Rattus norvegicus: one gene and its partner. The main gene of each other region encodes a partner of the protein of the gene in region 2 in a complex. Links are inferred from orthologs where the notes say so. Each region holds a gene or a part of one and is shown on either strand. Other genes may lie near its edges. The genes, in order: Trim28 and Smarcad1.

Region 1 (4,346 bases), on a different chromosome or scaffold from region 2:
ATTCCCAGCAACCACAGGGTGGCTCACAACCACCAGTAATGGAGATCCGATGCCCTCTTCTAGTGTGTCTGAAGACAGCTACAGTGTACTCACATTCCTAAAATCTTAACTTGATTCTACAGTGAAATGCTCAAAAGTCCTGAGTCCCAGGACTCAGGAGGCAAAAAAGAAAAAAAACAAAGATCTGACTTTGAGACCAATCTGATTTGCAGTGAGTGAGTTACAGGCCAGATGGGCTAGTAGGAACTATATGCTGAGCTATCATCTACCTATACAAAAAAGGCCTTGTGGGTCACAACTTTAAACCTAGCGCTTGGGGAGGCAGAGGTAGGTAGAATCTCTGCATGAAGGCCACCCTGATTCCTGGCTTAGTGAGTTAAAGAACAGGATTATATACAGACCTTGCCTCAAAAATAAAAAAAAGTTCTAAGATAGCCAGGGCGTAACAGAGAAACCCAGTCTTGAAAACAAATGAACAAAAAGGGCGGGGAACATGCACATTCCAAATGCCTATTTTAATCCCAGCACTTTGGAGCTGTGGGAGGGGCATAAAATGTTCAAGGGAAAACCAGGTGGTACACACCTTTAATCCCAGGGGAGAGGCAGGCAAATCTGAGAGGCTAGCCTCCTATACAGAGTTCCAGGACAGCCAGGGCTATACACAGAAACTGTCTGGGGAGGGGTCCAAGGCTAGCCTGAGCAGTGTCTCACCAAAATAGAAAAGTATGGACTGACCTATCAGTCCCTTTTCTCCCCGATGCTATTCCAATTCAGGCTGTATTAACCAAGCCCAAACTACATACCACTAGTAAGAGCAGTCCTCTTCCTATCACTCCTGACTTCTCACACCGGCCTTACAACTGCCTTCTACTACTACCTTAACAATGTCCTTCCAAGTAGGAAGAAACTCACCATCACATCAGAGTCAGGACCAAACCCAGAAAACAAGGTATCAATCTGACCATAAGCTTTAGTTAGGAAGATGCTGAAGGCTTGCTGCTGAATTACTCCAGGACTCACCCTAAACAATGGCCTAAGAGTCTTAACTTGTCAAGAAATTCTCCCTGTTCAAAAGCCCTTTTTCAGCAGCTAAAGCCAGGTGCCAGAGAACATCCAAATCCAAGTCACTTCATCTTGCCTTCATTAGCTGCTTATGCTAATCGACCCACCACCAGGACCTACAACCTTCCCCTGGAGACTTCCAAGATGACCTTAGTTGAATCCCTAGTATTGACTTGTAGCAGGTGTTAAATAACCCTACACATCCTCTACCTGTGGCCTTTCCCTTTCCACCTAGACCTCCAAAGTCTGCTCCAGAACCAAAGCATTTTTGAGTTGTGTCAGGTTCCTAAAAAAAACACCTTGTCCCATCCTGCAAGTATGCACTTGAGTCAACCAAGAAAGGGCAGTTCCAACAGCCTTCAAATCTTCAACATACCCGTGGAGCGCACAGTGTGATCCTTGGTGTATTTCACCCGCTGGTGAGCCTCCACACAGGTCTCACACAGTGGTTCAGAGCACTCCACACAATAGCTAGTGGCTGGGGCGTTATCTTCACAGCTAGTGCAGCACTGTGAGTGAAGTAAAGGCGGGGGTTAGAACAGGCAGAACTATCCAACGGACCTCTATTTACTTCCCAGAAAACACAAACTAAATTTTACATAATGCATTCAAATCTGTACTACCCTTCCAGAGACTCAGACTGTTATGAACATACTATCCAAACTAGTTAAGCTGGTGAGATGCTTCAGAAAAGATGCCTCCCTCTCTTACAAGATATCCCAAAGGACATACCTGGTTAGCATCCTGGGAATCAGAAGAGGCCTTACTGCCACTATCACGCATAAAGTAATTCTCCACGATGTCTTTGGAGTAGCACTGTTGTTTGCACACTGGACAATCCACCACTGCCAAGACAAGAATGTGTGAAAAAACTAACTGCATGCTCACCTAAGCTATGCCCCCAACTCAAAAGTCGAGCCAGACACTCGGCTTTCTTGACTCCTACCCCACAGTCTGCATCTCGGTGTCCAGACCTGGTAACCGGCATTGCAAGCCGCCAGCACCCGTTCCCCGCCCCCTCTTAAACCAGCAGGCCTACTTAACCCTACCCGGGCCCCCATACTCTCGCACAGGCGCAGTCCCGAGCACGGGCTTCAAGGAGGGGGGAGGGGCACCTGGCCACCCAGTACTCACTAGCGCCGTCGCCCGCCGAGCCGCCATCCCCCGAATTATTAGCTGCGGCGGGTGTAGCGGGGCCAAGGCAGGCACTACAGGCCGAATGCAGACAGGGCAGCAGCCGAGGATCCCGCTCAGGCCGCAAGCGCTCGCGACACACGCCGCAGTGCTCCAAAAGCTCCTGCGCCTCGCCACCGCCCCCCGCAGGGGACGACGCGGAGGCCGAGGCCGCCGCGGCTGAAGAGGCAGCGGGGCGCTTCTCACCGCCCGCCGAGCCTTCGCCCGACCCTGGGCTACCAGAGGCCGCTGACGCGGCCGTCGCGGCCGAGGCCGCCGCAGTCGCCGCCGCCGCCGAGGCCGCCATTCACACGCCGCCGGGGGGTTGGGGGGGCCGCCCAGGGGAGGAGGGGCACCGAGCCCGCTGCGCAGGCGCAAGTGCGCTCGCCGCCAACGGCCAGGCAGCCGCCGATGCCGCGAGGCCGAGCGCCGCCACGCGTCTCCTGGGCCGACGCCCGCCGCGCCCCAGGCGCTGCCGAGATGCGGCCAAGCCGCTGGCTGCCGGCCTCTCTACAGACGACGGCGCCGCCACCCGCGCCGCCTCCTCCCTTGCTGCTGAGACTCGCGCCGCAAGAATTGCGAACAACCGCCCGACCGCGCGCCGCTCGCAGAAAGAGCCGCGGCCTGGAGGCGGGACAGAAATATCTGGCGCCGACGACGTCGCGCACGCGCGTTGGGCACCGCAGCCTGGGGGCGGGGCGCAGGCAGATTACGCACGCGCCAGGGCCCTCCCTTCTACTCGCAGCCGCCCCTCTAGGTCCAGGATAGCAAGACTACCGGTAGGAAATTCACCCGCGGAGTACGTGCGTGATGTCTCCCATGCCCACCGTACAGTGCACCGAGGCTTATTCCTCGCGTGCTGGAAAGCGCGAGTCGTGCAGAACCGTACCTTAGGCCCCGCCTCCTTAGCAGGCGTGGCGACGTCCGCAGCCGCAGCTTGGCCTATAGTCCGCGAAGAGGGGCGGGACAATCCGAAGAGGGCGGAGCCACGGCTGAGCACAGAGACCGAGCCCAGGTGGAGGGGGTGAGGGGGTCTTTGGCAGGAAGTTCCCGCCGAGCGTGGAGGCGGTCTTAACCCAAACTTTTTTTATTGTTAAACTCGGGAAGCGAAAAGTTGTCCAAGTCAAACCGCAGATCACAGAGAGGTACTGAGAAACCATTCTGTAAAATTCTGCCCAGTCTTTCGAAAGCCTCTTCTGTTTTAGTCCTCTGCTATTCTGGTTTTAGTGGGTTTTTTGGAGGTGGAAGAACTGAACATCTAACGCGAAGGAATAAAAGTTGGATCTGAGTGATGAATCTCATCTGAGGGAGAAATAAGACCTGGGGAATAATCTTGCATGAGGAGCAGGACCTTGGCTGAAGAATTTGATTTAAGGAAAAGAATAGCAGGATCAAGAGCGGTGAAGCGGTTCATCTCAGATGCAGGATCAGTGTTAAAAAGGCAACCTGTACCCCTTGCCATTCTACTGCCGTGCTGAGTGGATGCCTCTGCAGCCTTGCAGTGTACTGGGTACGGTCTGGGTCTGGGCTAGAGTGAGTTGCCCACAAGCAACTCTAGGGTTCTCAACAAGAGTCTACCTCCTCCGTGCAGAACCAGGTGTTCACCCACGTGGCAGCGGAGAGGCGAGGAGTGTCCCGCCACTGTCCCGGGTGTGGCCTTTGTTCCCAATCAAGCTGGGGGCCCAAGGTTTTGCCCCGCCCCAGCCTTTGTTCCTATCTCGGCAGTTCTGCGTTCACCATTCGGCGGGCCACGCCCCCACCAGACCCAGCCTCTGGACTCTCACTTCTACCTCTGAAAAGGATAGTATAATCTGGAAGCTGAGTGCGGGCTTCCCGTAGAAATATTTGCGAATATTTTCACGGCCCCACGGACTGCTGGGGCCAGACTCACCAGGGTAGGGTGCCTGTGAGCCAAGCCTACCTAAACCCCGGGAGCAGACTTTAGGATACCAGAGACACAAGGTCAAAGAAAATAAGGGATGGGGACTGGAAATTTGAATGAGTGGCAGAACGCTTGCTTGCCTAGCCTGTACAAAGCCCTAAACTGTATCCTCAGCACACCCGAACCACCACGGCAAAAGGTGGGAGAGAGCGGCGATAGAGGCAAAGAG
Region 2 (3,809 bases):
CTGTCATTTACAGGAATTAACTATAATCAATATATGTCAAAGGAAAAGAATTTTTACCATCTTAACACTGTTAGGTATTCAAATATAAAATTGGAAAAGTTCTGATTATTTCAACCGTGAAGGAAAAAAGAAGTGTCTGTTTCTCACTGATGTAACTACACACAGTCACCAAACTTCTCACCTCCTTCCTAAACTTTTGTCAGGATTCAGCATGCTAGATGATGCTGAGGCAGTATGAAATGTACACTGATACAAAGATACAAAATATTTCTTTGAATAGCTAAATTATCTGGATCTCAGAGATAGAATTATCAGAAAGGTCCTACTGGCTATCAAGGAAAATAACATCTCAGCAAACAAGGGATATATTACACAAGAGGGTTTATACTATAATAACCCATTTTAGTCTTGTTCCCCTCTGCTATGCTTAACATTTACAGCAAACTTTACTCACTTATCCCCCAAGCAAATCTGTCAACATTTAGTTTTCTAAGAGTAGAATACACACACTCAGAACACATGCTCTAAGACTAGAACGCCCTCTCTGTGTCTCTCACCTTTACGTTTTAATTTTCCTTTCTTTTTCTTTTAAGACAGAGTAAGATGGTATTAATCACCAACTTAACACATGTCTAGAATCAGCTGAGAGGAAGGCTTCTGGAGGACCTGTGAAGAATTATCTTCATCATCTTACCTGATGTGGAAAGATCCACATTAATTATAGGCAGGATCATTTCCTGCCCAAGGATCCTAGACCATGTCAGATGAGGAAGCAAGCTGAGCACAAGGAAGCACAAATTCTATCACAGCAACAAGCCTAGATGGCCTCTAAGGATGGCCTTGAATTCCTGCTTCTTATGCCTCCACCTCCCAAGTCCTTAGGTTATAGGCTTGTACCACCACCTCATCTTGCCTCTTCTCTTTCTTTTTCTTCCCCAGGCTAGGAACCTACGCCATTTGGTTTGAAAGATAACATAACACTCTACCTCACATAACAGCAAAGAACACAAGTCAACAAATTTTAAAATACCACTCACTCCCTTTCCTACTCAAATAAATCTGAGCTATAGTTCATTCTAATTGGAGGCCTAAGGTTGAGAAACATCCAAGTTGAAATTTTTTAATGCCAAAAGGGAATGAGACACAAAATATGTAATTCCCTTACCAGATACAGAAGCCTACTTGACAGGGGTCATTATCTAACTAGACAGAACAATTAGCTCATCAAAATGTGTAAAATCATAAGCCAATAAATAAATAAGCATCTATATTCTATAGTGACATTTGTTATACTCTATATGGAAATAAATGAGTAAATGAGGAGAAAAGGGTAAAATTTCTGAATAGTAGAAAACTAGTAATAGTATAAGTTCTAAAATGACAGTCAAAATACCCAACTTTATAATTAGCATTACCAACAGAGGCAAGGATAACAGGATAAAAATGGACATAGGCACTACCCAATCCCGAAAAATCTCTCTACACTGTTTAATCATCACAAAGGGGGAAAAATGGTAGCTCATCGGGGGGGGGGGGAAATAAGCAAAGACAGACAAAAGGATACCATGTACTTCCTAAGTCATGACATGATGAGGACACAAGATCATTTCTGTAGATCCTTCCACTAAACTTACATTTAATCATAAAAAAAAAAAAAGCAGAAAAATTCAAATTGAAAGATATCCTAAGAAAAGCTGACTGGCACCTTTAAAGAGAGTTATAGTGAAACACATGCTGAGATATAATTCATAATAAATGAAATTAAAGAGACATGACAAACACAAATATGATCATAATGCAGAACTGCTAGGTACTTGCTCCTAGACTCCATAACAAATCACAAAGAAATTACAGAGGATTAACAGTACTAGTTAAATCATTTCCTTATCTTTAGAAGTTAATATCACAATTTTCCCACTAAACCTTTATAAATAATCATTTTGTAGAAAACATAAGACAGGAAAAATAGTAAAAACAAAGATGAATAAAAGCAAAATAATCACACAAATAATTCAAATTAGTTATTTCTGAAAACTAACATGCATAAGCATAACTGACTGTGAAATGGCTTACACTATAATTACTGTGTCTTTGCTGAATTTTTTCTCTTGAACTGTACTGGAACAATTTGGAGAAACATCTTCACTATCAGATGATAAATCAATATATTCCTGTATTGTTCTTTGATTTTGGAAACATGATAAACTTGCTTTGCTTTCATTGTCTGGAGGTTCTGGAACACTAGAATCTTCTGCAAAACAAAAAGAGATATTCTGAGCAAGACCAAAGTAAATTTTTATTAACTTCATTCATGTGCTATTATTTAAAAAAAGAAAAAAAAAATCACCAATTCCTTGCATTGTTTCTGTCTTAAAACCAAAATGTCTTTCCATTGACACAGAACAGGAGAGGAAAAACTATGGGGACATGAAAAGGCCCTAATGCCTCGCTGAAGCTTCTCCACAACTGAGAACCAAGAATTACAACAGACTCAACCTTTGCTTAAGGCTTTCTCTCTTCCCAACTGTAAACTTCAAGTTTTTTAGAAATCTCACCAGAGATTTAGAGTAAAGTTCTAACTCCCTTGTACAAATTTAGTGTCTTAGTTTTATCCTATCTGACTAATTGCACTGATAAAGCCATCTATCTCAGTTATTAAGAGAGGAATAGAAAGAAAGAGATGGAATGTGCCTCTAAACCTACAGAACAAGAAAATTCCCAAAGCTTCCAAAATCTACAGTTACCCCCCAATCAACTATCATGTCCTAAGTTCTGAATTGGTTTCTACCCAAGCAACCTCTTAGCTCATGCTTAACAGTGTCTTGTAATAAACCTCAATCTGCTGCACCCAGGCTTATCCAGCCAGGAATTATTCTCTGCAAGAACACAAAATTAATTAAGGTATCAAAAACATTAAAGGAATTCCTCAAGCTACTAAGAGTGACAGACTGGAGCAGATGCCCCTACCATTGCTTATACAACGTTTCTTTTTTTCTTTTCTTTGAGAAAACATCTCCCTATCCTCAAGTCATAACATCCCTGAATCCACATGCTTTAGCATCTAAGTGCTGGGATTACAAGGCATAAACCAATATACCCGGCTCTCCTACAACTCTAAGTCTCAAACAAATCAAACCCAAAAGATAAAAATAATTGGTACTCCACACACACACACACAGATTCAGGAAGACAGGTAACCACTAGATGATACTAGGCCCCAATGGAGAGCTCCAATCCAATAGTCAAACAGGTAGTCCTGGCTAAACTAAATAGTTCACAGAATAAAACCAACAGTCATGAATCTGGAAAAAAGTTAGTAGGCATGGGTGGAGAGAGGTTGCTAAGGCTGAGAAATAGATGGGAGGTTGTTGACCACAGTCAGAATAATTACACACATGTATAAACTATCAAAAAATCAACTTTTTAAAGTTAAATAAAAATAAAAGTAACTGATCAATAATTTTTTAAGTGATTATTAAGCACTCAGCCCTAATAACCCTGTAGGATACACAGCTTATCACTTTCTTGTAGATAAAACTAAAGAATAAAAAGGCACGTCCTACACATCTAAGAAAGGAGTAGTTCTGACACCCCTGCCCCATTCTGGAAGCCAAATTAGCATTCTCTAAAATTTTAGAACCATGGTAACGATCATTATAATCATTCCTTTATTTTTCTTTTTTTTTCTTTTTTCTTTTTTTTCTTTTTTTTTCGGAGCTGGGGACCGAACCCAGGGCCTTGCGCTTCCTAGGTAACATTCCTTTATTTTTCAAGCAGTTCTAGGGAATGCACATAGTGCCTCACACAGG

What was found.
Region 1: the proteins of Smarcad1 (region 2) and Trim28 are in contact, whole or in part, in a crystal structure (PDB 6H3A), measured with the Homo sapiens proteins. The link is inferred for Rattus norvegicus from reciprocal best matches to the Homo sapiens genes SMARCAD1 and TRIM28. Residues at the interface, in NP_001362784.1 of Homo sapiens: Asp156, Leu157, Ala160, Lys161, Gln163, Thr164, Glu167, Leu168, Phe169, Asp188, Gly189, Ala190, Ala192, Leu196, Ala201, Gly202, Gly203; in NP_005753.1 of Homo sapiens: Arg330, Trp333, Thr334, Lys337, Ile338, His341, Leu376, Lys377, Ile379, Val380, Asp381, Val383.

The regions. Positions count from the first base shown.
Region 1 is NC_086019.1:82,723,374-82,727,719, reverse strand, and holds the start of Trim28 (transcription intermediary factor 1-beta), read right to left. Parts: upstream 2,826-4,346; 5' UTR 2,543-2,825; coding exon 2,197-2,542; intron 1,908-2,196; coding exon 1,795-1,907; intron 1,572-1,794; coding exon 1,439-1,571; intron 1-1,438. UniProt on the Homo sapiens protein: Nuclear corepressor for KRAB domain-containing zinc finger proteins (KRAB-ZFPs).
Region 2 is NC_086022.1:95,648,096-95,651,904, reverse strand, and holds part of Smarcad1 (SWI/SNF-related matrix-associated actin-dependent regulator of chromatin subfamily A containing DEAD/H box 1), read right to left. Parts: intron 2,252-3,809; coding exon 2,074-2,251; intron 1-2,073. UniProt on the Homo sapiens protein: DNA helicase that possesses intrinsic ATP-dependent nucleosome-remodeling activity and is both required for DNA repair and heterochromatin organization.